7 linked regions of the Rattus norvegicus genome follow. The protein of the gene in region 2 interacts with the protein of the main gene of each other region in a pairwise test. Links are inferred from orthologs where the notes say so. Each region holds a gene or a part of one and is shown on either strand. Other genes may lie near its edges.

Region 1 (3,500 bases), on a different chromosome or scaffold from region 2:
TGTAGCTGGGGCTTGGGCAACTTAAGTTGCTGTTCTCGGACGGCGTAAGCCAGCACCTGCCGGTCCGAGTGCTGGGGGTAGGGCTGCGCGCCCAACTCGAAAAGCTCCCAGATGGTCACACCCAGGGACCTGCAGGGGCAACCACAGTGACACACGGCTGAGCATGACTGCCCAGAACCCCTGAACACCTGTCTCATGCCAGCCTCTCCAGGACTGGAGCTCATTATGCCACAGCCGCCCTTCTCCTGGCACAAACACAAGTCAAAGCCCTATATCCCATAGGGACACGTGGCCTACAACAGCAGCTCAAGATGGTTTTAACCAAAATATGACCCCAGTATTGGTGGGTGTCAGTTGGTCCTGTCCTGAAGGCCCCACGCCCTTGACTCTACCAGTACAGGAACCTCAGAAACCCACCATCAACTAAGTAGCCTGTGAATGAGCTTTTAAGGCCACTGGGTGGCAGGCATGAGCATTCTCCCTGGGTGCCAGCCTTCACCCTAACTGGAGAAGGAAGTCAAAATGTTAGAGCAGGCAGCAGAGCTAAAGCTGCATCCCCACTAGAGTAGCTGATGCCCTGGCACCTGGGGAGGCGGCATCCCAAGACCCTTCCAGCAGCCAGGCCTGTGCTCACCACACATTGCTGGTCTTAGTCTGGTCCACCACCAGTAGGTTGCCATGCACCTCATCCACCAGCTCTGGCGCGATCCAACGCAGCGGCACCCACAACTGGTCGGCCGTCACGAGGTAGTCTTCCTACAGGGACAGGTCGGGAGTGAGCCCGGTCAGCAGCCACCCCTGCACACAGGCTCTGCCTGCCCTTACTCACCCTGTATTTGCAATGGGCCAGGCCATAGTCGCCAACCTTCACTGTCAGGTCAGCCGTCAGCAGGCAGTTCCTCAGGGCCAGGTCACTGCAGAAGGGTAGGCAGTGTCAGCAGAGTGTCAGCCTGGGCGATTGGCTCCCGGGCATAGTCAGGCAGACAGACAGGCAGGGATGTCTGAGGGACCACTTTCTTGCGCCCAAGCTTTGGCTCTGCACTCTCTATGGCCATTTTGGAAGATCTGTGTGGGCGGTACATTGCACTTGGCAATGCATGTGAAACTCAGGCAAAAGATGATCAAGGACACCCCCCCAGCAAGACCTCACCAGAGCCCTAGCCCCCTCTGCCCTCTTCCTAATCTGCCCAAGCCACAGACAAAGTGTGTCTGCAGTGTCCTATCAGGGCCCTCAACCTTCTGACCCCAGTACACCACATTGTCATCCCAATCCCCAGGAGATAAGAACTAATAAGCCAAGGCCTGGAGTGGAATCAGAGGGTTCTGCCAACAGTCAGAGCCTATGTTCTAGAGTGTAGACCTCCCCGCCCTCCTACACAAGCTGGAGCCGAGGTCTAGAACAGGGTGGACCACAGAGCTCCCCTCCGTGGAGGATAAAAATCACCCCAGGTCTTCCTCCAACTCAGTGGCAAGCCCGGATGCCAGCCTCTATATAACTCCAGTTTGGCTGGAGGCCCCCTGGTGTTTGGGGTAGAGTGCTATGGGATGCACCCTCATCCGCCATACTGCCGGTACGCCGAGGGCTCTCCGGTTGTAGACAGAGTCATCCTGGCCTGTCTCAACCCCAGGAGGACTGTACCAGGGGACGGATGCGGGGTTGGGTGACCTATGGGTGGGGCAGCTGGGCTAGGCATCAGGCAGGACAGGAGGCTGGCAGCTGCCCTCTTCAACAAAATCACTGATGCTGGAGTCACTGTGCACCCACTCAGCACCAGGATATTGTTGGGGAGGACGGCCTGGGCAGCGTCGGGGCTGGCGGGCCGCTCGTCCATCGCTACTTCTTCCAGCCCGTGCCCCCCGGCTCACGGGCGACTGGACATCCTGGCCTGTCTTTTGGTCACCAGAGGCAGGAGAGAGCCACCCCTCCCACTGCAGGGCCAGCCCAGCCACTCCCTTTGTGGTGTGAGGGAAAGAGACCAGGGCCATGTGGGGGCCCAAAGTATGGCTGACTGTTCTAACAGACAGGAGGAATGTCTTCATTTAATCGTCTGCCAAGGTACGTTTCAAACATGAGTCTTCACAATTTATTACTTTTTTTGAGATGGTCTCCTCTCTCTCTCTCTCTCTCTCTTTCTCTCTCTCTCTCTCTCTCTCTCTCTCTCTCTCTCTCTCTCTCTCTCTCTCTGCACAGCCCTGGGTATTCTGGAACTCATTAGGTAGGCCTGGCTGGACTTGAACTCACAGAGATTCTCCTTCCTCTGCCTCCCAGGCGCTGGGATTAAAGGCGAAAGCTGCTGTGCCCAGCCAGTTTTCACAATTTTTTTAAAAAAAGATTTATTTTATTTATTTATTTTTATTATTTATTTATTATATATAAGTACACTGTGGCTGTCTTCAGACACACCAGAAAAGGGCATCAGATCCCATAACAGATGGTTGTGACCCACCATGTGGTAGCTGGGATTTGAACTCAGGACCTCTGGAAGAGCGGTCAGTGCTCTTAACCGCTGAGCCATTTCTCCAGCACCCCTAGTTTTCACAATTTTAGGAATTATAAAATTCCCTGCAGAGTGGCTATTAGACGAACCCAGTTCACAAGACCCACAGAGTGGGATCACTGCGATTTTCCTGTACAGAGGCATTCAGGGTCAAGGCACTGGGGTAGCGGGGCTTTGTGTCCACGGCCTGGCTAGTCCCGCTAACCCTCACCTGTGCACATAGTTGTGACGATGTAGATGCAAGACACCACACGCCACCTCGCACGCCATGCGCTGCAAGGTAAGGGGGTCAGGCGCCATGGACTCTGTCACCCGGCAGCTCCGTAGATAACCTTTGAGGTCCCCCTGCCGAGAGAGCACACAGTCACCTGCTAGCAGCAGCTACCAGCGCATCACAAGCCCGCCACCAACCTGGGTCGGGTGACCTGCAGATCAGCTGGCAGCCCTAGTGTTCGCAGCAGTTTCAGCAAAGCCTATGTCTGGATTCCGACACAGTGACCTTCATACAGAAGCAGCTTTGGCACCAGAGCTGCGCATGTAAAGAGGCCAAGGAGCCACACGAGGATCCTAAACTCAGGCTCTGCCCCAGGAGCTGTGTGAAGCCTGTGGCTGTCCCAGGACTCCCCACACTGAACTGCCCCAGACCCCACAGTGTTGCCCCTGCTGCTGCTGGCTCACTCTAAGCAGACCCCCCTCTGAGGCAGAGCAGGGCAGGGACCACTAGGACTCTACTGGAGAAATAACAAAAGATCCCAAGAGGCAGAGCAGGAGAGGAGCCAGCTCAGAAGGGCCTCCCACTCCCCTTTGGAACAATGAGCTACAGAATAGGACCTGGACAGACAATGCTGCCTCCCCGCAGATGGCCACTTACCAGGGGACAGAACTCCATAACCAGCAAATAGGGGGTCACCTCAGCACACTGGGCCAGGCACTGAAGCAGGTTGCTGTGCTGCAGGGCCCTGGAAGAGTCCACGGGCGTCTGAGTTGGAGGGCAGGAGAGGG
Region 2 (4,161 bases):
GGCCCCAAAGGTAAAGGAGACTCCACGGTCATTCTCGCCCCAGCCTTGAACATCCTTGTCAGGGTCAGACCACAGCAGATCACACAACAGGCCCTGGTCAGGCACGTCCGTGGGCCGCATAATACGTCTAATCTGCTCCATGGATTGCAAGTCTGGAGACAGGCCTGGGGTGGTAGAGTGAGAATAGTGTTCCTTACACCGAAAAGCAGGTACTATCCCATGCCCAGAAAGGTCTCAGGGGTCAGCTCCACTTTCCCCACCAACGCTGGGTTCATCTTTTGGGCTCCTTAAGTTTAGGGAAACAGAGTTCATTATATTCCTGCTGGCCCCATTTCTCTATGTGGCCTTGGCTGTCTGGGAACTCCCTTTGTTTTTTTTGTTTTTGTTTTTGTTTTTTTTTTTTTAGGAATATGTTTTTTCAGTTTTTTTTTTATTGGATATTTTATGTATTAACATTTTTTTTTCCCGGAGCTGGGGACCGAACCTAGGGCCTTGTGCTTGCTAGGCAAGCACTCTACCACTGAGCTAAATCCCCAACCCAGGGAACTCCCTTTGTATGCCACCGCCACCTGGCCATCCCTCAGCTTTTAGAAGTACAAAGAGTACGGGCTGGAGAGATGGCTCAGCGGTTAAGAGCACCCGACTGCTCTTCCAGAGGTCATGAGTTCAATTCCCAGCAACCACATGGTGGCTCACAACCATCTATAAAGAGATCTGGTGTATCTGAAGACAGCTACAGTGTACTCATATATAATAAATAAAATAAATATTTAAAAAAAAAAAAAAGAGTAGACCTCCGTGGGGGAAGGAGATGAATGAGTTGCCTATAGCATGCTAAATACCACAACAGGAAAGCGCAGTCGAACTGGGGTGTGTAGCCAGGTGAGGTGGTGCAGGCCTTTAGTCCCATCACTTGGAAGGCAGAGATAACCAGAACTCTTGTGAGTTCCAGAACACAGAAAAACCCTGTCTCAAAAACAAACTGGGCTGTGGGTGACCTGTAATAAGTGACAGCCAAATTCAAGGAGAGCTACTCCAGGAAACAGGAGAGTTCTGTTAACTTTCCAAGGCCCCTAAGGATATAGCCCAAGCACAGACCCCACAACCATCCTGACCTCCGTGGCAGCAGAAGATCTTCTCATCTACAATGGCTGCAATGGGCAGGCAGTTGAAGCAGTCGGTGAAAGTCTTCCACAGTTTGATGTTGTATCGTCTCTTGCCTGCACAGAAGAAAATGGCTCGTAGGGAAGACCACCCACCACACAAAACCCAGTCTATAGTTTTCTGTGCACTCCTCCAGGGTACTTTGTGGGTTACTCTGACAAAGTGCAAAGACTAGAAGGCAAAGAAAGCTTATTACAGTTTCCTTGCTCTGCCCTCATCTACCTTCCAGAATTCCAACACCTGGGTCCACAAGAACCTGAACTCCAGTCTGGCCTAACCTCAGTGTCTGGTTTATTCATAACATGCACCCTAAATGCTTAGTAAGGGATGCAATAGAGGGAAGTGTCATCGGGCAGGGCTGTGGAGGAAGCTTTAGCAAACGGGCAGCCCTGCATGTACATCCATTCACCAGGCCCTTCCTTGGTGCCATGGATAACAGACAGCTTGGTTGGGGCTTTGCAGGACCCATCATCAGGGTTCTCAGCACTAGAACAATTTAGGGGGCCCATGAAGTGCAGGAAATGTAGTTCTGGGCAACCAGCAACATTCAAAGCACTCACATTCATCATAGAAGCCATAGATGCGGTTGATGCTGGCACACTCATGGTTCCCACGTAGTAGAAAGAAATTCTCCGGGTATTTGATCTTATAGGCCAGCAACAAGCAGATGGTCTCCAAAGACTGCTTTCCCCGATCCACATAGTCCCCCAAGAAGAGGTAGTTGCTCTCTGGAGGGAAGCCACCATACTCGAACAGCCGTAGAAGGTCATAGTACTGGCCATGGATGTCACCTGGGAACCAGAGAAGACTAGGTAGGTCCAAGATGTAAACTTGAACCCAGGGCCAGCAACGGAAACACAGGTACTGGGGCAGGAGTAAGGGGCTATTTTGAGGAAGCTAAGGGGTTCTGAGCAAGGGCTTACCACAGATCTTGAGAGGCGCCTCAAGCTCCAGAAGAATAGGCTGGCTCAGGAAAATCTCCCGGGATTTGAGGCAAAGACCACGGATCTCGTTCTCTGTCAGCTGCACATTCTTTCCAGGCCGTGAGCCCTGCACTGGGTACGGAATAGGGTCTTGGGACCCTGACCTCGCAGACCGAATGTCATGCGCCCCTCCCCAACACCAGCAACTGTTGCAAGGGAGCCCCCGCTGAAACCTTTGCATCAGGCCTTCAAAGGCAAGATACGACCCCTTAGCCACCCGGAGGCCCTCCAGAGACACGCCTGTGCTCAGCAGCCTGTCAACCGAAGCTTCCTCGCCTCAGAACCCCTTCCCAGCTAGCTTCGCAGGAGTCTCACCCTGAGTCTCGGCCACTCAAGCGTCCCCGGCCTCGGAGCGCGCTCCAAAGCCTAGGCGCAGGGAGTAGGGAGGGCTGCCGTGGCCATAGAACCTCACGGCCTGTCCCCGCCCAAGCGACGCTAGCCCCCGAGAGCGGCGGGCCCGCCCGCGCTCTACTTCCGGACGGCGATGGGCCCAGGCTCGGCGCGCGCGCACCTTCCCTACCCCTACCCACCTTCCAGCAGGCGCCCGATGATGGAATCCAGGTTGAGCTTCTCGCTGTCGGACATGGCGGCGCCGCCGCTCCGGCCCACCAGCTCCGGGCCCTCTCCTGCCTCCCGCCCTCTTGCAGCCTCCTTCCGGCCTGGCTCTCCTTCCGCCCTCCCCAGCCCGCCCTCGGCCCGCCGCCCCGCCTCTTCGGCCGGCCGCCCCGCCCTGCCGCGTCCGTAGTTCCCTGCTCTCTAGCGCCTCCCCTGGACCGGAAGCACTGCAGCCGGGGAGGGCCTCGGGCGGCCGGGCGAGGCCTGGCAGGGGTGGAGGGCGGGGTTTGTAGGGCGGAGTTGGGTCGGCTCCACCCAGGAGGAATCGCCCTGCTGCGTTCTGATGAGTTAGAACCGGAAGTACTGTAGAAATTGTTTTTCTCTTTCCAAGTCTCTTCCCACCCCAGCCCTGCGTGGGATTGTGGTGTGAGCATGTTAATCGCTGACTTCTCAAACACTGTAAAGTAATTCCTCGAAGTGCAGAAAAAGGAACTAAGGCTCAATGACACTGAGAGTGAGCTCCAAACCTCCAGAGCCTCACATTCACCTCGGTCTTTATGGCCAGACCCATGAACACCTGCTACTGAACTCGAAGCAATGTTTTGGTCCAGGTTGCCTTGGTGCCTGCTACGTCAGGTTTTTTTTTTCGTTAAGTGATGTAATACTATTTTATCTCCTTCCTGTTGTAAGTCCTTTGTAGAATGCTTGGACTTGTCTAGCATGTGCAAGGCCTGAGGTTTTATCTCCGGCTCTGGAAGGAAAGTAAAGAAAGAAAAGGGGGGAAAGGTATTATTTTTAAACAGTAACACATTAAAGAACCCAATGTATCATAAACCTGTAATTCCAGTGCCTGAAATTCCAGCACTCAGGAGTCTGGACACAGGAGGATCAGAAGTTCAGGGTCATGCTCAACTACATAGTGAGTTCATCTCCTGCCTGGGCTACGTGAGACCCTTGTTCCCAGACTGTACCCTTTCACTCTCAAAAAAGAAAACCCAGGACAGTGGGTTGGAGTGGTGGGACGACATTAAAGCATAATTATTACTGGAACCATGAGTTGGTTTTACACGCAAGTAACCTCAAAACCGATAGTGGCCTGTCATCTTCAACTTGGGCAAGTCGGGGACTCTTCACACCTCCCATCCGTGATGGGAGGAGTCCGTGGCTCAGGCACTAAGGCAAGCAGGAAGAACCTCATAGAGGAAGGGGGGAGTCCCCCCACCAGGGAGGGGCCCCCAATAGGCTGCTGAAGCTGAGACTGAGGAGGAAGTGAGAGGAGGAGGTGAGGTGCAGCAAGGAGGTGAGCTGGGCTAGGGGCCAGGCCTGGGGTGGGTCTCTACACAGAGACTTGGTCTTTGTGGTACCTCAGGGACTACCTGACTCCCCCGTGACTGAGGACTGGTTCCTGGAACCCCAGCCTCAGTCTGGCTGTTCACACTGGCTCTCTATATGTCTTGCA
Region 3 (3,500 bases), on a different chromosome or scaffold from region 2:
GGTCAGCCGAGCAGTATTAGCATTTGGGTCCTCTGAATAAATGGGACCAAGAAAGGATTGACCCAAAGAGAATTTTAGGAAACAGCCAGGAAAATCAGAGAAGACATTTTCAAGAGAAAAAAGTTACAGCCTCATTCGGCAAAACTGTTTATCATTTTGTCCTCTTTGCCACAACAGGCCATGCATATTATAGTTTATCTGTGCGCACTAAACGCCATGGAGAATCACAATGCCGAGAAGCAGCGATTTTCCTGAATGAGACTTTGAGAGCCCAGGCTTGCTACTATTTGATCAGTGTCTGGAAGCTAGAAAGTGCAGCAGATGGAATGCTAGCTCAGCTGAGCTTTTCAATAGACATTTCTTATACCGAGTAACTCTGTGTCTGGAGTCCTTGGAGACAATTCTTCATGTTCCCTAGACATGCAGCCCTGGAACAAAGTAAAACCCCCCTCGTGGGTCAGAGAACAATCAACCTCTAGGGGAAGCTGTATCTGAAGTCCTTTCCAGCCCCCCTACTCCAACTCTTCTGAATACTGAGCAGGGGAAACAGAGAACTCTCTGTCCACAGATCTGGCAGGACTGCCATCGGCTACAAACCCACATCCTCACAGCACCAGAGGGAGAGCGTGGGGAACCATTTGAAAAGCAAAGGGGAGAAAAGGCATTCCCATTCAACTGGATAACAGGGCTGGGCCCTTTGTTTTCTTTTCCTTTTAGATTAAATGTCTTTTATCCCAGCTGAGTTCAGATGATGTTAAACGGCACTTACAGTCCCCTGTGGCCACTTGTGTCCCCTGTTTTAGCCTCCTAACCTTAGAGTCTGAAACACACATCTCTCAACTAAAGCCACAGGTAAAGATTTAGTAAGAAACAAAACAAAGGGGGTGAATATGACCAAAACAGAGTTTGGGAAATTCTCAAAGAACTAATAAAAGAATTTTACAAGAAGATGTGAAAAAACCCACTCCACCCTGTTATAAGGTGGAGTCATAGACAGACAGACAGACAGATAACACTCACCAAGAGCGATATCTGCCCTTCGTTCACAATGTTCAGTATGCTTCTTACTTTCTGCAGGTACTCAGTCCTTTCTTCTGCGCCTTGGGCACTGGCCCAGCTCACGCCGTTGACCTGCTCCTCTGGTTTGGCTCCTGCTGCCGAGGTCTGCAGGCGGAAGGGCCTGAGCTTGCAGTCTGGCCCAGACTTCTCAGCTTTCCGACTATGGGGATCACTAAAGACCTTGTTTAAGAAGTCCTTACTGTGGTTTTCTGATTCAAATGCAGGGCCGCATTTACCAGGAGCGGGTGAGTTCTCCGATTCTTCCGCAGGGAGCTTGTGCTGGTCCCGGAGGACACTGGGTACTTTCCGTAAGTGAGGGCTTTTCACAGGAGAAAGAACACACAATGGAGCCATGTTGGGTGTGGAGGTCTCAGCGCTTACAATAGGGCAGGTTTTGGCAGAGAGGCCATTGACAGTTGTGCATAAACCCAAAATCCTTTTTTCTGAAGTCACCTTGGTGAGCGGGGCCAGCTGTTGACTGGATTTAATGTAAGGCACATCCAGAATCTCATCCATGTCGAGGTCATAGTGCTCCAGCTCACCCAGTGCCTGGCTGGGCTCTGAGCCCTTGCCTGGCAAGCCTCCGACTCCATCTTCAGGGCTGAGCTCCTCAGGCTGGGGGCCCTGGTCAGTCTCCCCCCCTTTCTGGTATTCCACTGTATTGTTCTTCTGGTCGTCACTTTCATTGCTCTCCAGAGTCTCTGGCTGATGTTTCAGTGGAGAAACTCGCTTCACCGGGCGGAACTTACTGTATACATCAGCGATTCCAGTGGGCTTTTGCGGGTTTGTAATGAGAGTTGAGACACCACAATTCCAGCTAGAGCTAGAAACTGTTTAAAAAGAAAATAATAGAGGATACTATTCAATTGGAATCTGAACACAGTTTGGCCACATAGGTAGGCATGTTCATTTAAGTTATGCTGACAGTAGGTCCCTGTGTGAGGCGATAAGCCCGAGAGGATGAAAGTATCCTTACTACTGCAAAGGCAGAGCCTGATAAGAAAGCTATGCCATGCTGACTCAAATTAATTAAAGAAGCAATAGTGATCGAGGCAGAAAATTAAAATAAATGAACCCTGACAGACATTACTGAGAGTTTCTGGCACTATTTACATGTTTGCTACTACCCTAAAACAAACAAACAAACAAACAAACCAAACCAAACCAAACCAAACCAAAACAATAACAACAAAAAACCCAAGAAAGAAAAATAAAAACAAAGTGGGAATGGGCTTCCAAACTAAAGCAGTGCACACGCGAACATATAGTTGTCTGTATGCATCTCGAATGTTTGAGACATCCATGTGAAGAACATAACTTATCTTCTACAAACCCAAAGTCTGTCCTACTGTGTGACTCAATAGTTCCTACTAGATAGTAAGAGTAGGAGAAGAGAAGCATAAGGCAGCCAGGTGCTCATCTGTCCATGGAGACAGACCATGGTTGAGCCCGTGTGTCCTGTAATAAATGTCCTAGTCAACCAGTATGCGGGGCCATCTCATGGTGCTTCCTAGGTCATGACACAACCACAAAATGCATTTCCACTTGACAAAAGAACACACTCTTTTTAAAGAAAATACTTTTTATTGATTTTCTGTGAATTTCACATCATGGACTCCAGTCTCACTCATCTCCCTGTCCCCTTGCACTTGCCCTCTACCCTTGCAACAACCCCCCCCCCCAAGAAAATAACACACAAACTAGAAATACAGAACAAAACATGAAAATATCTCCAAGAGAAGGTGTAGGGTGTCACAGAGTGTCCTACAGCACACCCCTCTGTCCACACATCTTGCAAATGTTCACCACAATGAGTCATTGGTCTGGCTTGAGGTCTCTGGCTTCTGTGACACCATCAATATTGGATCCTCACCGGGACTCCTCCCAGTTACCCTGTTGCTATCCTGTGTCATGGAGATCCTGCAGCTTTGGATCAACAGGACTGACCCTTTCACAGGCTCCAACAGTTCACAGATGATGTAGATTTTGGCCATCAAGGCCAACTCCACTGTGTTGCCCTGGTGAGGTACATGGCTCACTCTCCTGGGTACTGAAGTTAGAGAGAGGCAGGGCCTGCTGCCGAATGTGAGAGGTGCGGCCAGCTTTCCAGAGTACCACAGCCAGGGATGGGTGAGGCCAGTTCTGCACAGCCATTGGATATCCATGCGGTCCCTGGCAGCTGCCCCAACCAGGGACTTCCCCCATGGTCTCTAGTGGTAATATGAGCCACAGATGTCAACACTGCCCTCTGCCTCTGCGTGGCTATGGGACCTAGACATGGCCCTCAGTAACAGCACAGGCTGAGACTTTACGATGGCCTCAGGTGGGGGGAAGCTGGTGGCTACTCACAACAGGTTACTCCTTTCTACCTTAGAATTTCCAGTTCCATCTCTCTTCATAATGCTCAAACTGTTCCACTGTCTTTCTCTCCCATCTGTCTG
Region 4 (3,978 bases), on a different chromosome or scaffold from region 2:
CTTGGGGCCCAGAGCCACTCATGCCATCTTGTCCATTTTCCTATTCCATGCACCTAAAGGTAGAGGTCACCTGCCCCAGCCCCTGGCTTCCTGTGCACTGTCGCCCTCTGCAGGACCCTGGGGATGGAGCATGGTTTTCTATCTACTTCCTGCCTGGCACACTTGAGATACTGGGGAATTCTTAAACAGTTCATCCTGTTTTCATTCTTGTCAAGAATAATTTGTCAGTCAACTTCTTGAGTGATTAAAATAATTTGGTAAGTTGCATACACAAGAGTGAATGCTGAGCCCTCTGCTGCTGGCGTCCTTTGCCCCTCCCCCAGGCTGGGTGCAAGTGAGTGCCTGGGCTTTTGTCTCCACCATCCCCCCAGCGCCAGGCACGTGGCTCTTCAGAGCTGAGCAGGAAGCTTGGGCCCCTGGGACCCCAGAGGCAATGGCTTGAGACAGGCACTTGCCAGGCATGTCCCTGGGGGCTGGGACTAACTCCACATGTACAGCAACCTCACTAATTGCTTACAGCTGCAGCTAATAGGCAAGGGGCTCAGGGGGAGGGCCTTGAGGCCCAGGCTTCCTGGCTTCTGGGGTTGGTGGTTCAGGTCCCTGAGCTTGGAAAGAGCTCAGGGTTGGTGGCCAGTGTTCAAGACCAACCCTCCCTGCCCTGGGTGAGCAGCCTCCTCTCTGAATCATTTTTCTCCCTCAAAGAAGGGGGTTCCCTGCTCAGCGCACGTGATGCTGTGGCCTCTCATTTGGCCATTCCATCATGGACTCCATGCCACAGTGCAGCTTTGGGGTGTAGTTTATATGGTCGATGCTGGTGAGGCAGAGGCAATTAGACAACACGGTGCAACCCCACTTCCCACTGAGCTAGGACCAGCTGGGTATAAGGCTGCAGTACAAGTGAGTGGGGAACCTCTGGATCCTTGGGTGGGAGGTGGTGGGGGGACGCACCATGACCCTTAATACCACAGGCGGATCCTAAGAGCAGGGAGCACCATAACCAGGCCCCTGCTTGGTCTGAATGGGAGGGTCATGGCCATGGCTCAGTCACTGGTGAGCTGAGGACTTCTGCAGTGTGTGATGTGTGAGCAAGAATAGCAGTCCTCGAGGCTGGAGAGATGGCTCAACCGCTAAGAGCACTGCTGTTCTTCCAGAGGACCTGGGATTGGTTTTCAGCGCCCACTTTGGCAGCTGACAACTGTTTGTAGCTCTAGTTACTGGGGATATGATCCCCTTCTCTGACATCTGCAGGCACCAGGCACAGCATGGTACACGAATCCACAAACACACACACCCACACGCACACACACGCACATGCACATACGTGTGGCATGTTGTGTGTCATGTTGTTTGCCATGTTGTGTAACATGGTGTGTGCCATGTTGTGTGCTGTGTTGTGTGGCGTGTTGTGTGCTGTGTTGTGTGCCATGTTGTGTGATGTGTTGTGTGATGTGTTGTGTGGAGTGTTGTATGATGTGTTATGTGAAGTGTTGTGTGGCGTGTTGTGTGCTGTGTTGTGTGCTGTGTTGTGTGCTGTGTTGTGTGAGGTGTTGTGTGGAGTGTTGTGTGCTGTGTTGTGTGCTGTGTTGTGTGCTGTGTTGTGTGATGTGTTGTGTGGAGTGTTGTGTGGAGTGTTGTGTGCTGTGTTGTGTGATGTGCTGTGTGGCGTGTTGTGTGCCGTGTTGTATGATGTGTTGTGTGGAGTGTTGTGTGGCGTGTTGTGTGGTGTGTTGTGTTCTGTGTTGTGTGCTGTGTTGTGTGATGTGTTGTGTGGAGTGTTGTGTGCTGTGTTGTGTGATGTGCTGTGTGGCGTGTTGTGTGCCGTGTTGTATGATGTGTTGTGTGGAGTGTTGTGTGGCGTGTTGTGTGGTGTGTTGTGTGCTGTGTTGTGTGCTGTGTTGTGTGATATGTTGTGTGGAGTATTGTGTGGAGTGTTGTGTGCTGTGTTGTGTGATGTGCTGTGTGGCGTGTTGTATGCCGTGTTGTATGATGTGTTGTGTGGAGTGTTGTGTGGCGTGTTGTGTGGCGTGTTGTGTGCTGTGTTGTGTGATGTGCTGTGTGGCGTGTTGTGTGGCGTGTTGTGTGGTGTGTTGTGTGCTGTGTTGTGTGATGTATTGTGTGGAGTGTTGTGTGGAGTGTTGTGTGCCGTGTTGTATGATGTGTTGTGTGGAGTGTTGTGTGGCGTGTTGTGTGGTGTGTTGTGTGCTGTGTTGTGTGCTGTGTTGTGTGATATGTTGTGTGGAGTGTTGTGTGGAGTGTTGTGTGCTGTGTTGTGTGATGTGCTGTGTGGCGTGTTGTATGCCGTGTTGTATGATGTGTTGTGTGGAGTGTTGTGTGGCGTGTTGTGTGGCGTGTTGTGTGCTGTGTTGTGTGATGTGCTGTGTGGCGTGTTGTGTGGCGTGTTGTGTGGTGTGTTGTGTGCTGTGTTGTGTGATGTATTGTGTGGAGTGTTGTGTGGAGTGTTGTGTGCTGTGTTGTGTGATGTTTTGTGTGCCGTGTTGTGTGCCGTGTTGTATGATGTGTTGTGTGGAGTGTTGTGTGGCGTGTTATGTGCTGTGTTGTGTGACATTGTGTGGAGTGTTGTGTGATGTGTTGTGTGGTGTGGGGACCCCTGCCCGTGCCACTCTCATCTCACTGGGGCCTCACCTGACGTTGTCTGCTTCAGCTTCTCGTTTTTCTTTTTCCTCCATTTCCAGGGTTTGAAGATCCTGCCCAGCGTGGCCAGCTTGCTGTTCCTCCGCACAGGGGGAGTTCGAATCCCTGAGACCAGAGGCTCGGAGCGTGCTGGGGGAGTTTGGTCCATCTCATCTGCAAAGTGAGAACAGGGAAGGGTCTCATGGGATGATTTCAGGCTCCTGGGGACCTAGGTGACCATCTTACCTTAAGGGACCTCTTAATGCATACAGCTTAGGGAATTGTCAAGGCTGTAGTCCCTCCCTGGGCTTCCTTCTGACAGAATACACACAGGAGGCAGCTTATCTGTGCAGTTGATCACTTGCCTTTCCCACCTCCTCACCATGGTGGTCTAAAGGCTGGCTGATTGCATGATGAACTAGCTCCCCTCTGCCACAGGACCTTTGTACATGCTCTGCCTACTGCCCATGCTCTGCCTACTGCCCATGCTCTGCCTACTGCCCATGCTGCGTTCCTTTCCAGCGTTCCTCTACCTTAGCAAGGGATGGCCAAATATTGTCATCTAAGTGTTGGGCTGTACCCATAGCTATCCTGAGAGGCATGCCTCGTGTGGACTGTGGATTAAATGCAGACATTGGATGTTAATGTACTCTGATAAGAATCACCCCTCCCCCCCCCCAGGAAGTTTTTACTCTGTTCCAGCAGAGACTGGCCTGAGCCCTTGGCTTAAGCACTGTGCACACAGGCATCAAGGAACCACAAAGTCCCCCCAATCTCCTTCTCCTAGTCATCAGCCACCCCAGAGCGGAGCACAGACCAGGCCCAGCTGCAGACCACACCCAGTTCTGCCCGTCAGATCACCACAGGGAACAGCTGCAGAACAAACCTGAGCCATGAATAGATGAAGGGAAGAATCTTTGCTCTTGGTCCCTCCTGGCTGGTGACTTAAGACAAGTGCACGCAGTGGAGGGTGTACATTAGCTGTTCCAAGAAGCTCCAGGCAGCGCAGTGTGTCATGCTAGAGACAGCATCCTGCAGGTTAGCCTGTTTCCTGCGCTCAGGGTCTGGGCAAGGTGTTCCTAGACTCTTGGTCTCCTATTCAAGGACCTGACATGAAAGCCAACTGGTATTTGCAAAAGTAGTGAGGGAGCTTTACTTAAAGCAGAGGGATGCAAGGGAGCAGCAGGTCCCACGAGTCAAGGACCCAATAACATATTGTCTTGGGTTCCTTCTGTGAATTTGAGAGAAGGAAGGACTGGTTACTGAGAAGCACACGATGCCCTTCTCTGTTCTGACAAATTAGGTCATATAGTCATGTCTCCACTGTGCACATCCCTTCTCATAACG
Region 5 (3,500 bases), on a different chromosome or scaffold from region 2:
TTAGCCTCTGCTACTGGAGCAGTGAGGTTTTCCAGATACAAGGGCATGCTGTGGGAAGGGTAAACCCCCGGGCTGGCTCCAGGGCTCTCTGAGGAGTGTGGGTCAGGCACAAGGAATGGCTCACTCACGTGTGAAGCTGGCAGTCGTAGGAGGGTTAAGGCTGTCGCAGCTGTCTGCACTGTCGCTGCTGGACATCTCATCATCCGAGTTGGAGACTGACGAGCCCACGTCCACATCATCGAATTTCCTCTTGAGGCCTGAGCCCGAGAACGCATCCATTGGCTTCCAAAGGTCTCCTTGGGGAGCCAACCACGATGGCCCCAAGCTGCTCACCACCAGCTAGCCAGGAGCATGAGGACTCTGCCCAGGGGAGAACAGCAGTCAGCAGTGTGGTCCCAAGACAGAGCTGGCAAGTCTGTCAACATAGCACGCTCACTGCAGACAAGCAACTGGCCGGCACTGAGTCTGCCTCTCCAACCTGGTCTTTCTTTGTTGGCTCAGGCCAATGCTCTCACTTGCTCCCTTCCAGCCCCTCAGTCACTCTTAGAACAATCAGTTTGCAGCAGCACCTTCCCAGGGGAGTGACAGCCTCACTTTCAGCCCTGCTGGCCACAGCAGTCATTGGCCCAGGCTACTGCTCACTGCCCTTCTGACCACACAGGATAGTACTCTGAAGTATCACCGGGAGACTAGATCAGAAAGAGCATAGGCTTTGCCTAAACCAAAGCCAGACCCAAGTGTTAATCCCAGAGATAATATAGTCTGGCCTGTCCCCAAGAGTATATCTTAAATATACTAGTTCCTTCGATATTAATAGCCTTTTGAATGAAAATAGGACTGCTGTGTTAAGAGTTTAGAAGACTATGTATATCAGTACCTCCTAGGGGTTTTTTTAATACACTTATGGTCAAGGTAAAAGCTGGGAGAAAACAGTTCAGCGTTTCACAACCTGATTATGGAACCCACTGCTCCCAGAGTATGTTAGGGGGCAAATCGTCTCTGGAACACATTTTGGGAAATTCTGCTCGAGTCTCTCAATTCTGAAGGACATTGGCAGCCAGGGAAACCCTTGACCCAGATCTTCACAAGTGTGAATCGTCTCATCAGACTCTCAGAAAGGGCAAACTTAGTACTGAAGAAAAGGGGGCGAGATTAGAATCTGCACTGGCTTCAAAACCCAGAGAGCAGGGCTGTGGGTGCGGCTCAAGTGGCAGAGTGCAAGCCCGGGGTACACGAGGCCCCAACTTTGATCCCGGCACCACATACAATTCAGAAACCAGATTTTTTTCATGGCCTCTCATCATTTTCTATGCACAGAGGAAAACACGGATTTACACTCTCTGGCCTCTGAAAAGAAGCCATCAAGGGAAAGCGGAAGAGATTACCCTGGCTACAGGACACAGCAGGCACAAGCCTTTTTTGTCTCTTCCTCCCTCGTTAGACGTAAGCTCCTAAAGAACACAACTCTGCAGGAGAAAGGCTGAGAGGCATCCCACACATGACGAGGCACGGGACCCCCACACCGTGGTCTCACTAGTTGCTGACTGTGCTGCAGGATTAACAGCACCGACCGGGACATGCAGTCGTGACTGCCTGGCTTCAGAGCTGCTTCCCAGAATGCACTGTAGTGACGGGAGGTATTGGCTACATCTTGATTTTCTGGTCTCCATCTTTTAGTAGCAATTTAGATCAGCTCTACAAAGTTAAAGCAAACCTGGTGGGTGCTTTGGGGATTTCCTGAAATATCTACTCAGATCACATGAAAAGAACTCTGCACTTATGTCAAAAAATGAACCTGAGCACCTTAACTTTCAAACAAGTACAGCCTTCAAATAAGTTTGGCTGAGAAGAAAAATTACAATCAAGAGTTTGTTAAGAATTATAATCAAGGCTGGGCATGGTGGCATAAGCAATAATTCCAGCCCTTGGGAGGCAGAGGCAGGTGGATCTTTCTGAGTCTGAGCCTAGCCTAGGCTACATAGTGAGTTCTGGGACAGCCAGGGATACACAGTACCTGACTAAAAACATTTATATATAAGATAATTAGGGGCTGGTAGTACGCAGTTGAGAGTGCTAACTGCTCTTCCAAAGGACCCGGGTTCAGTTCCAGCAACCAACCCTCTAATTCCAGATTCAGGGAGTCTGAAACCCTCTTCTGGCCTCTGCAGGCACCATGGTACACAGGCATACATGCAGATTAAAAACGCCACTACACGGGGCTGGGGATTTAGCTCAGTGGTAGAGCGCTTACCTAGGAAGCGCAAGGCCCTGGGTTCGGTCCCCAGCTCCGAAAAAAAGAACCAAAAAAAAAAAAAAAAAAAAAAACGCCACTACACATAAAATCTAGAAGGTTTTTAAAGAATCAAATAAGTCTGAATCATGAGCTGTGTTCCTAGGGTCTGCCCACAGGTCACATTAGGAAAAGACAAGAGGTAAGAGAACGACGGGACTTTTTACAGTTTAAGATCTTAGCTGGGCTTAAAGATGATACCCTTCCAGCTAACAAATGTCTCATTCCAGTCTATTTTGGGTGAAGGAGCATGGGGGGGGTGGGAGGGACCTCTGTCATTAAATATTCATGTGGATGCTATAGCGGAAAGGAGAATGCTGTCCACTGAATCCCCTCCCCCCATGCCGTCTCAACTACACAAGAAACCAACACTGAGCAAAAAACACGTTTTCTTGGAAAAACCTTAAGCGTCCCTTCAAATCTAACTGAACTCTGGTTAACGGTTCTAGAAAAATGGCTGCTCCTTAGCCTGGAAGCACTCAGGGACGGGATTGGAAGCAATTGTACACTCTGCCTCTCTCCTCAGGGTCCTTTGCTTCCGGCCGTGTGGATTTCCTTGAACTATTATTTTTTAAGTCTCCCGTGGAGTTGGATCTGTGCCAAACCCATCTCTCTTACTAAAACTCCCCCTTATCTTACCCAGCTGCCCCCGAGGACCCTTTCATCCCGCTTACTCTGTGCCCTTGAGCTTGGCGATGCTGGTGTTCCGAGCCCCTTCCTCCCACCTCTGGGGTTGTGGGTTGGGCAATGACAGAGGTAGGCAGTAAAAGAAAAGGGAGGGGAAAACTGAGATGTAAGGAGAAGTAATTTTTCTTAAGCAGCCAAGGATAATCAGGCCTACATTTGTAAATCGTGTGCCTACTGACCTAGATGACCTATTCCACTAAAGGACTGGGACGCAGCTCCCTAACCCAGTGGCTGCCTGTTAGGCCTTTGAGGCCTCCTCTGGCTTCAATTCCCAGCACCGCAGAACAATGACCATCTCCCGCATAGCCCTCAGGAAAATCCAGGACCCCACTGTTCTAGCTCTCTTCACCCACTCAGGATGTTAGCGGTACTTCCTGTGAAACTGCCTGTTTTAATTGTTTAAGTCTAGCTACGGTCTCAGCCGCATGAGGCCCCAGCCTGTTTCTTGAGAAAGGTCTGGAACTCCCATGGTCCTCTTGCTTCTTCAGTCTCTCAAGTGTGTGCCCCAAGTGCAGCCCTCCAG
Region 6 (4,017 bases), on a different chromosome or scaffold from region 2:
GTAAGATTCTTCCATGAAAGGAAGAATAAATGTGAGGTTCTGAGAGCCCAGGAGTTACCATGGGGACTCCTGCCCTGTGAAATTACATAAGCAGGCCTGGCTTGGAAATCCTTCTTTTTTTTTTTTCCCTCTGAGTATCATCAAGACTACAGGTTAAGGACAGGTTAAGGCCACACCCTTGTGGCCACCGTCAAGGGTGTGATGTGATGATCGTCCTCCCAGAACATTCCAGCTTTTATTAACCCGATGCTCGTCCAAGAACTGGTGCACTAAAGGGCTTACTTCAGTTTAGCCTTCCTGACTTTCTGCTCAGGGTGTCTCAACAGACTGTGACAGTGATAACTAACGGTCACTCAGAAGTACTTCCAGAAACTGTGACAGTCGGCCAATAGTTAAAGTCCCCTAAAGGAAGGCACCTGGACAGGTGCTTGAGGAAACCCATTCACGCCCACACATGATTGAATTATGCTCAGCCCTTATACTGTCTCCAACACTGCCCCCGGCTTTTCCTTCTACGGAGGAAGCAGACAGAAGCAGAGAGCACGGATGCACTTTTGACCAGCAGAGCGACATACGATCCGGTCACTAGTTGCAGGACAGGATCCTGGGAGCCTAAGGAGCTGTTTCCCAAGGACAATCACACACTCCGCGTTCACGTGGGTGCCTCAGAAGTCAACTGCCTCTGAAGGGTGCCTGGGCCAGCTTTGGGACACTTGCAGAAATACCTTCTGTGTCCTAGTAAAATAATGTGGTCTCTCAAGATGCTGGCCAGTCTTAGAAGGCCAGTAATATTTCTTTTAAACTTGACAAGTCTGAACAGAAAATAACCCCACACAACCTCCAGGCAGTTGAGCGACTGAGTTTCTGACTGAGACCTTCTTTCTGTAACTCTTCCACTCGGATGCCAAAACCAGGTTAACAGCTCACTGCAATACTTCATTAGATAAAAATCCACGATCAATCCACGACACCACCATCCACTCCTTCCCCCTTCAGCAATTCTCTGTTCTCTCCCCCAAATGTTTAGCTGATACTTATACATGTACGAAGTTGACATTGGTTCCCTTTTGTACACAGACCCTAATTATTCCAGCCTTAATGCATACCTGCCCCTCAATCCTTGGAGATAAATGTTTTTGAATGGGGTTGTATAATGAGCAGTCGGGTAGCTTTGAATGACAGAGCCCGAACCAGTCAAAGGCAGCAGGAAGCACAGGCCTAAGAATGCCTCTGCTCGAAGCACAAGGCCCTGGGTTCGGTCCCCAGCTCCGAAAAAAAGAACCAAAAAAAAAAAAAAAAAAAAAAAGAATGCCTCTGCTCAGCTGAGCTTTAACAAATGAACTCTTATAAGTTTTCTTCTGAGGTCACTCGCAGCTCCGACCAACAGAGTTGCTAACAGGGCCACGATGCGTCTCTTCCCACTAACTTTCCCCTAAATGGCCCGACTTCAACTGTCTCCACTTTCTCCCTGGTTCCTGGACGTCTTTGCCAAATGGACCAATTCCTTCCCTGCCTAGAAGAAACCTTTCTTTCTCCTGGACCCGCAAGCTGAGAGAGGGCCACATTCCAACAACTCTACAAGTTCCCCACTCAAGACTTTTGTAGCTTTCTCGTCTCTGTTTCTCCGTGGGCCTGCCATCCACTGTTCTGAAACTACTGTCCGGTTCCCAGCCTCTTCTCTGGGTTCAAAACGGCAGCTGCGAACAAGTCCCTGGGGGCAGGTCAGCGAGTCCCGATCCCACCAGCCGTTCTCCGAGGGTGCTGTGCCTGCACCCGGTCCCCGGTCTCCCCACGAGTCTGCTTCGACAGGGTCTGCACCTACCTCTCCCGCGGCGCTGCAGCCGGGGTCGCTGCTCGCTGGCCTCATGGGAGAGCCTGAAGAGAAGTGACAGGGTTGACTGCTGCCACTGAACTACGTGAGCGTCGGGGTGTCCCGGAGGTAGGGCCTGGGCTTAGTTCCCGGAGACGAACAAGAGGGAGGAGCCCAAGTTATCACACCAGGGCGGGACCTGGCGTCCGGACAACCCAGACGGGAGCAGCGCCTCACGAGCACCCCCACGCGGGCTGCCCCGTTCCCGGGTGGAGCTCACCTCGATCCTATTGCCTGAGTGCAGCAAAGGGTGATCTGAACCAAACTAGGGAGTAGTAGGAACAAGTCCACACTACTAGATGGAGTCAGGGCTGGGACGCGGGGTTTCTTGCATCTATTTCGTAAAACGGGAAACTGAGGCCCTGGGGGGCTTGTGTTTGGACTCCAGATTCCGCAGCAAAAACCTGGAATTGTCCTCCAAAAGTGTCAAATCTCAGGTTGGGGATGTGCCATAACAGGACTTGCCACATCTTTTCTGTTCAGGACGTCCCCCCTGGCTACGTTTCGCGGGCTAACTCGGCGCAGGGATTTCGGGGCTCCCCTCTAGGCTCCATCCCAGCTCGAGTCCCTGAGATGTTTCTGCACGTTGAAGCGACAAACTACCTGAGCCCTGTGAGTCAGTGTAAGTGAGACAAGTGGTTAAGTGGCGGGGAACTCTCCAGCGTGCCCCTCACCCGCAGATTTCCTGGCCCTGTACCTTGAGCTAGAGGCTTGGGGAGGTACGTACCCGGTACAGCTCTTGACTATGGAGGGGAGACCCTTCAGCCCGCCCCACCATCTGAGCTGGATGACAGTGACAGCAACCACGACGGCAAAAGCGGGGCAGGCACTCGGCTTGGTCCTTGCAACAGCAGCCCTCTCACCTGCTCTCTGGCTTTCAGCACTCTGGATTCTGGCTCCAGCAGCCCGTGGCGCCCTTTAACTTTCCAGCCACCTCTCCCTACTAAGGGTGCTCTCCAAGACCCCCTTTTCCCTCCCCCACGTGAACGCGGGACTCAGCCAATGAGCAATCTGGACACGAGCCGCGGACCAATAGCCATACTTGGGGCGAGCAGCACTCCGCCACGTGATCTGCAGCGTGTGGCGAGTGACAGGGCTGGAATCCAGGATTTGGGACAGGGACAGCAGGTCACAGTTTCATCAGGAGCCGGGGTACCCACGCCAAGGGGTGGAGGCGATTTCCTACGGTGGAAGGTCCGGTTGTAGAGAGACTGACCCAGGATCATAGGCTGTGTGCAAAGTTCCCTATTGCTTATAACAAAGTTCTAACCAGATCATAGACTCCCGGGTGTAAAAGGCAGTGTTGTGTTGTCTTTCCACTGGCTCCTCCTTTGCCCTATGTAGGACAAAAAGCCCCAGGGTTTACAGATGGCTATGACCTTCCCAGAGTGCCTAGAGGCAAGTATTCTCCACTCCCTCCCCATTTTGATTTTATCTGCATCTTCAGCTGTAGTGTCCCAAGCATTCGCTGAATCCTGCTTTCTGGCCATTAATTACGCTAGCAAAATCTTTTCCTTGGAGATGTTATCTGGTGGAACATCACTCTCATGTTCACAGGACTGCAGTCGTGGCTGAGGATTAGTGGTGTATTTAGGAGACTGCCTGACTTGGATACAGTAGCCATCTGCTGTCCCCAGCCTCTGTGCCCCTGGGGTTCTGTACATGATAGTGACTTTAGGAACCAATGACTCCTCTTGGGAAATCTATGGATCTGAGCGGCCACTTGAGGTAGGCTCATAGTTTTCTACCTTTAATGAGTAGTGAATTTTTCGGGATGTTGCTAATTGATACAGGGTTGCCAACTTTAAAAAGTGTTAAGTCAACACATTAAAACAAATCTACCACCCACCCACCCTTACTGTTTTGAAACAGCATCTTGTTATGTAGCTCACAGAGATCTCCAACTTAACTCTGTAGTTCAGGCTAGCTGCAAATTTATGGCTTTCCAGGGATTATCAGTGTGCGCCACCACTTACTGACTTTTTGGTGAGGTTTGTTTGTTTGTTTGTTGAGACAAAGCTTTTCTAGGATATCCCTGGCTATCCTAGAATTCACTCTGTAGACCAGGCTGTACTTGAACTTAGTGAATTAAAAAAAAAAGAAAGAAAGAGATAAAGAAAAGAAAGAAAGAGAGGGGGAGGGAGGGA
Region 7 (2,490 bases), on a different chromosome or scaffold from region 2:
CTGGCTGCCAAGGCCTCTGAGAACAATTTCCAAGTAGGCAGCTCTGCATCTCCCTAGACTTTTGGGAACTCTGTTGCTACAGCCTTGTTACAGGCTTATAGGTCAGGAGGTATCCAAATCAAATGTGAGAAAAGATTTCCAAGTTTCCATTTAGCCCCATTCCTGTGTGATACACAACTAGCTACCTTACTAGGCTCCTGGCCCTGCACTGAATCCTGTCAATTACAGCACCCACCTTCCTCCCATCTGGCATCTAGGCCCCTGGGTCATGGAGTTGCACAGTCCAGACATTAGGTCCACTTCCCATGGTCCTAGCTCTGAGGGAGAAAGTACCAGGCTTGCAGTGGGGAGAGAACAAGAGTAAGAGGCAGACCAGCAAGAGCTCAAAGTGTAACAATGCCAGACTGAGCTCACGTTTTGCTTTTTTGCACACAGGTGCTCAAGTTAGGCCTCTACCTTGCTCTTAGACTGAGGGCTTCGTAAAGAAGGCAAAAGCAGCCTTGTTACAGTGCTGTTTATTGATTCCAATATCTGAGGGGAGAAAAAAAAACACCCTGCCATCTTTCATGAGGAGTGGCTGAGGTCCACCATAGTAGAATCATGAGCTTGGATTTCGGCAAAGAACAAATAGCTATGGTAGCCTCTTACTCCTGACAGTGGCCACTCCCCAAAAGGTAGAGGCTGAAATGTCCAACAGCACCTTGGGACAAGATCTGCTCAGGCCTCCACCTCATCACAGATGAGACAATATGGACAGATGTCAGCCTGTCCCACAGGCAATTCCCACCTGTTCTTCATTGGCGTGAGATTCAGATCTGGCCCTAAAGGCAGAAGGAGACAACACAGAAAGAAGGCAGGGAGAGCCAGGTGGAAGGGGCACAGAATACAGTCAGGGCTCCTGGGTATTGACTGGCTTCCAGGACCACCACACCTGGGGCTAAGTCTTGGCCATCCTGACAGTTGCAGGGGTCAGAAATAGAGGGCTGGCTCGCTGCGGAAGTCCGAGAGATCATTCTGACTGGCAGGTGTGAGCTGAGAAAAAGAATAGAATATAGCCACTAAGGCTCATTCACGCATCAACCCTTCCCCAAGCCAGTCAGCCTCCTTTGGTTGTCTGGGGGTTCACCCAGCTTACCATGACCTCTTTTGGTGGGAGCTCCACCTCAGTTGGAGCCTGCACCAGTGTCTGCTCCTGCCACTTGCTGAAGGCCATGGAATGCTTTGGAGTGTAGCTGGACAGACCTGCAATCCAAAGGCAACAGGTATGGGTACCTAGAAGTGTGGTCCAGGTTCCACTCCCAGGCTGCCCATCCCAACGGGTGTGATTACCTGAGCTGCTCTCAGGTCCCACACTGCTTACAAATGTGGCCCGGGGCAAGAGAACTGTGAAGGATTTCTCTGAGTCAGGCCCCACTTCCTCCTCTTCACCATCCTCTCCTTCTTCCTCCTCCTCCTCCTCTTCTTCCTCCTCTGCCTCCTCCTGGGCCAGAGAGCTCTCAGAAGGGTACTCAAATGTTGTGTGCAGGCTCTTGTCATTGAAGGAGATCTTCATCTAGGAGTGAGAGCCACGTCAGCAGGGGCCCTGCCACTCCGTTAAGCAAAGATGCTAAACAGGGAGAGAAGACCCTTCCACCAAGAGTTGTAGACTCCACCTACCCACCCTCTGCCTGCAGCAGCTCCTAACGCTAATTCCACATTCTGGATGTCCGTGCATGAAAGAATCCTAGCACCAACCATCACTGTCGGGGGCCTGCTTCGGTTGGGTTGCTGGTGCTAGTGGGGAGCCCCACTTATAGAGTCTAGGGTACTAGCAATCCCATCAGTGATCCCAATTCCTCTACCCTACTGTGTGCCTCACTGGCTCCAGAATTTCATAATCAAAGTCTCCTTTCTCTCCTAGTGGCCTGGTTTTAAGGGACAGAAAGCTGTGGGCAACCCTGTCATGATCCTCCTGTCTGCTCCCTGGGCTGGGAGCCCCTCCTCCACAACTGATGACTGTTGAGGTTCCCAGTCCTCTGCAGAGCTCAGCAGAGGGTTGTGATGAACATGAGCACTTGCCTACAGCAGATGGAGCAGTCTTGCTGGGCTCGAAATATTAAACTCCTAGGCACAAGACACCAACAGCCAGCTCAGGTTCCCCCTCTTCCCCTGGAAGGAGCCAGAGGCCCAACCGGATGGGAGACTAGCCTGGCAGGGGAGTTGAGCCTGTCCTGAGGCAGCAAAGTGACCCTGGCATAGGTCACAGAATACACCAAGGGCCCATAAAGCGGAACACCTAGACTGTGAACCAGCATCCTGCCTCCTGCCCCTCTCAATCAATGGCCACACTTGCCCACATGACTGCCCATCGGAAGATACCCTGCCCTGGACCAGGAGGAAAAACCCCCGGAATTGGAGCTCCTGGCTTCTCGACCTGCTGGGGACGTCTGTTCTCCCAGGCCCTCCCTACTTTGGCCATCTATACACACTGATAGGCAAATGGGAACACAC

The links.
Region 1: the proteins of Ppp1ca (region 2) and Aatk interact in binary tests that used the Homo sapiens proteins (3 or more experiments, as listed by UniProt). The link is inferred for Rattus norvegicus from reciprocal best matches to the Homo sapiens genes PPP1CA and AATK.
Region 3: the proteins of Ppp1ca (region 2) and Sncaip interact in a two-hybrid assay, tested with the Homo sapiens proteins (2 studies listed by BioGRID and IntAct). The link is inferred for Rattus norvegicus from reciprocal best matches to the Homo sapiens genes PPP1CA and SNCAIP.
Region 4: the proteins of Ppp1ca (region 2) and Phactr3 interact in a two-hybrid assay, tested with the Homo sapiens proteins (2 studies listed by BioGRID and IntAct). The link is inferred for Rattus norvegicus from reciprocal best matches to the Homo sapiens genes PPP1CA and PHACTR3.
Region 5: the proteins of Ppp1ca (region 2) and Csrnp2 interact in binary tests that used the Homo sapiens proteins (3 or more experiments, as listed by UniProt). The link is inferred for Rattus norvegicus from reciprocal best matches to the Homo sapiens genes PPP1CA and CSRNP2.
Region 6: the proteins of Ppp1ca (region 2) and Ppp1r3b interact in binary tests that used the Homo sapiens proteins (3 or more experiments, as listed by UniProt). The link is inferred for Rattus norvegicus from reciprocal best matches to the Homo sapiens genes PPP1CA and PPP1R3B.
Region 7: the proteins of Ppp1ca (region 2) and Tprn interact in binary tests that used the Homo sapiens proteins (3 or more experiments, as listed by UniProt). The link is inferred for Rattus norvegicus from reciprocal best matches to the Homo sapiens genes PPP1CA and TPRN.

What each region holds. Positions count from the first base shown.
Region 1 is NC_086028.1:105,794,619-105,798,118, forward strand, and holds part of Aatk (serine/threonine-protein kinase LMTK1 precursor), read right to left. Parts: intron 3,458-3,500; coding exon 3,370-3,457; intron 2,844-3,369; coding exon 2,710-2,843; intron 1,810-2,709; exon of another isoform or gene 1,707-1,809; intron 915-1,706; coding exon 830-914; intron 757-829; coding exon 635-756; intron 130-634; coding exon 1-129. UniProt on the Homo sapiens protein: May be involved in neuronal differentiation.
Region 2 is NC_086019.1:210,913,215-210,917,375, reverse strand, and holds the start of Ppp1ca (serine/threonine-protein phosphatase PP1-alpha catalytic subunit), read right to left. Parts: upstream 2,801-4,161; 5' UTR 2,733-2,800; coding exon 2,678-2,732; intron 2,220-2,677; coding exon 2,088-2,219; intron 1,956-2,087; coding exon 1,725-1,955; intron 1,221-1,724; coding exon 1,116-1,220; intron 165-1,115; coding exon 1-164. UniProt on the Homo sapiens protein: Protein phosphatase that associates with over 200 regulatory proteins to form highly specific holoenzymes which dephosphorylate hundreds of biological targets.
Region 3 is NC_086036.1:48,502,973-48,506,472, reverse strand, and holds part of Sncaip (synphilin-1), read right to left. Parts: intron 1,890-3,500; coding exon 1,021-1,889; intron 1-1,020. UniProt on the Homo sapiens protein: Isoform 2 inhibits the ubiquitin ligase activity of SIAH1 and inhibits proteasomal degradation of target proteins. Isoform 2 inhibits autoubiquitination and proteasomal degradation of SIAH1, and thereby increases cellular levels of SIAH.
Region 4 is NC_086021.1:185,719,807-185,723,784, reverse strand, and holds the start of Phactr3 (phosphatase and actin regulator 3), read right to left. Parts: upstream 2,801-3,978; coding exon 2,644-2,800; intron 1-2,643.
Region 5 is NC_086025.1:133,482,369-133,485,868, forward strand, and holds part of Csrnp2 (cysteine/serine-rich nuclear protein 2), read right to left. Parts: intron 361-3,500; 5' UTR 280-360; coding exon 129-279; intron 1-128. UniProt on the Homo sapiens protein: Binds to the consensus sequence 5'-AGAGTG-3' and has transcriptional activator activity. May play a role in apoptosis.
Region 6 is NC_086034.1:63,542,876-63,546,892, forward strand, and holds the start of Ppp1r3b (protein phosphatase 1 regulatory subunit 3B), read right to left. Parts: upstream 2,801-4,017; 5' UTR 2,598-2,800; intron 2,592-2,597; exon of another isoform or gene 1,823-2,591; intron 1-1,822. UniProt on the Homo sapiens protein: Acts as a glycogen-targeting subunit for phosphatase PP1. Facilitates interaction of the PP1 with enzymes of the glycogen metabolism and regulates its activity.
Region 7 is NC_086021.1:28,479,811-28,482,300, reverse strand, and holds the end of Tprn (taperin), read right to left. Parts: intron 1,553-2,490; coding exon 1,330-1,552; intron 1,243-1,329; coding exon 1,136-1,242; intron 1,033-1,135; coding exon 970-1,032; 3' UTR 501-969; downstream 1-500. UniProt on the Homo sapiens protein: Essential for hearing. Required for maintenance of stereocilia on both inner and outer hair cells. Necessary for the integrity of the stereociliary rootlet.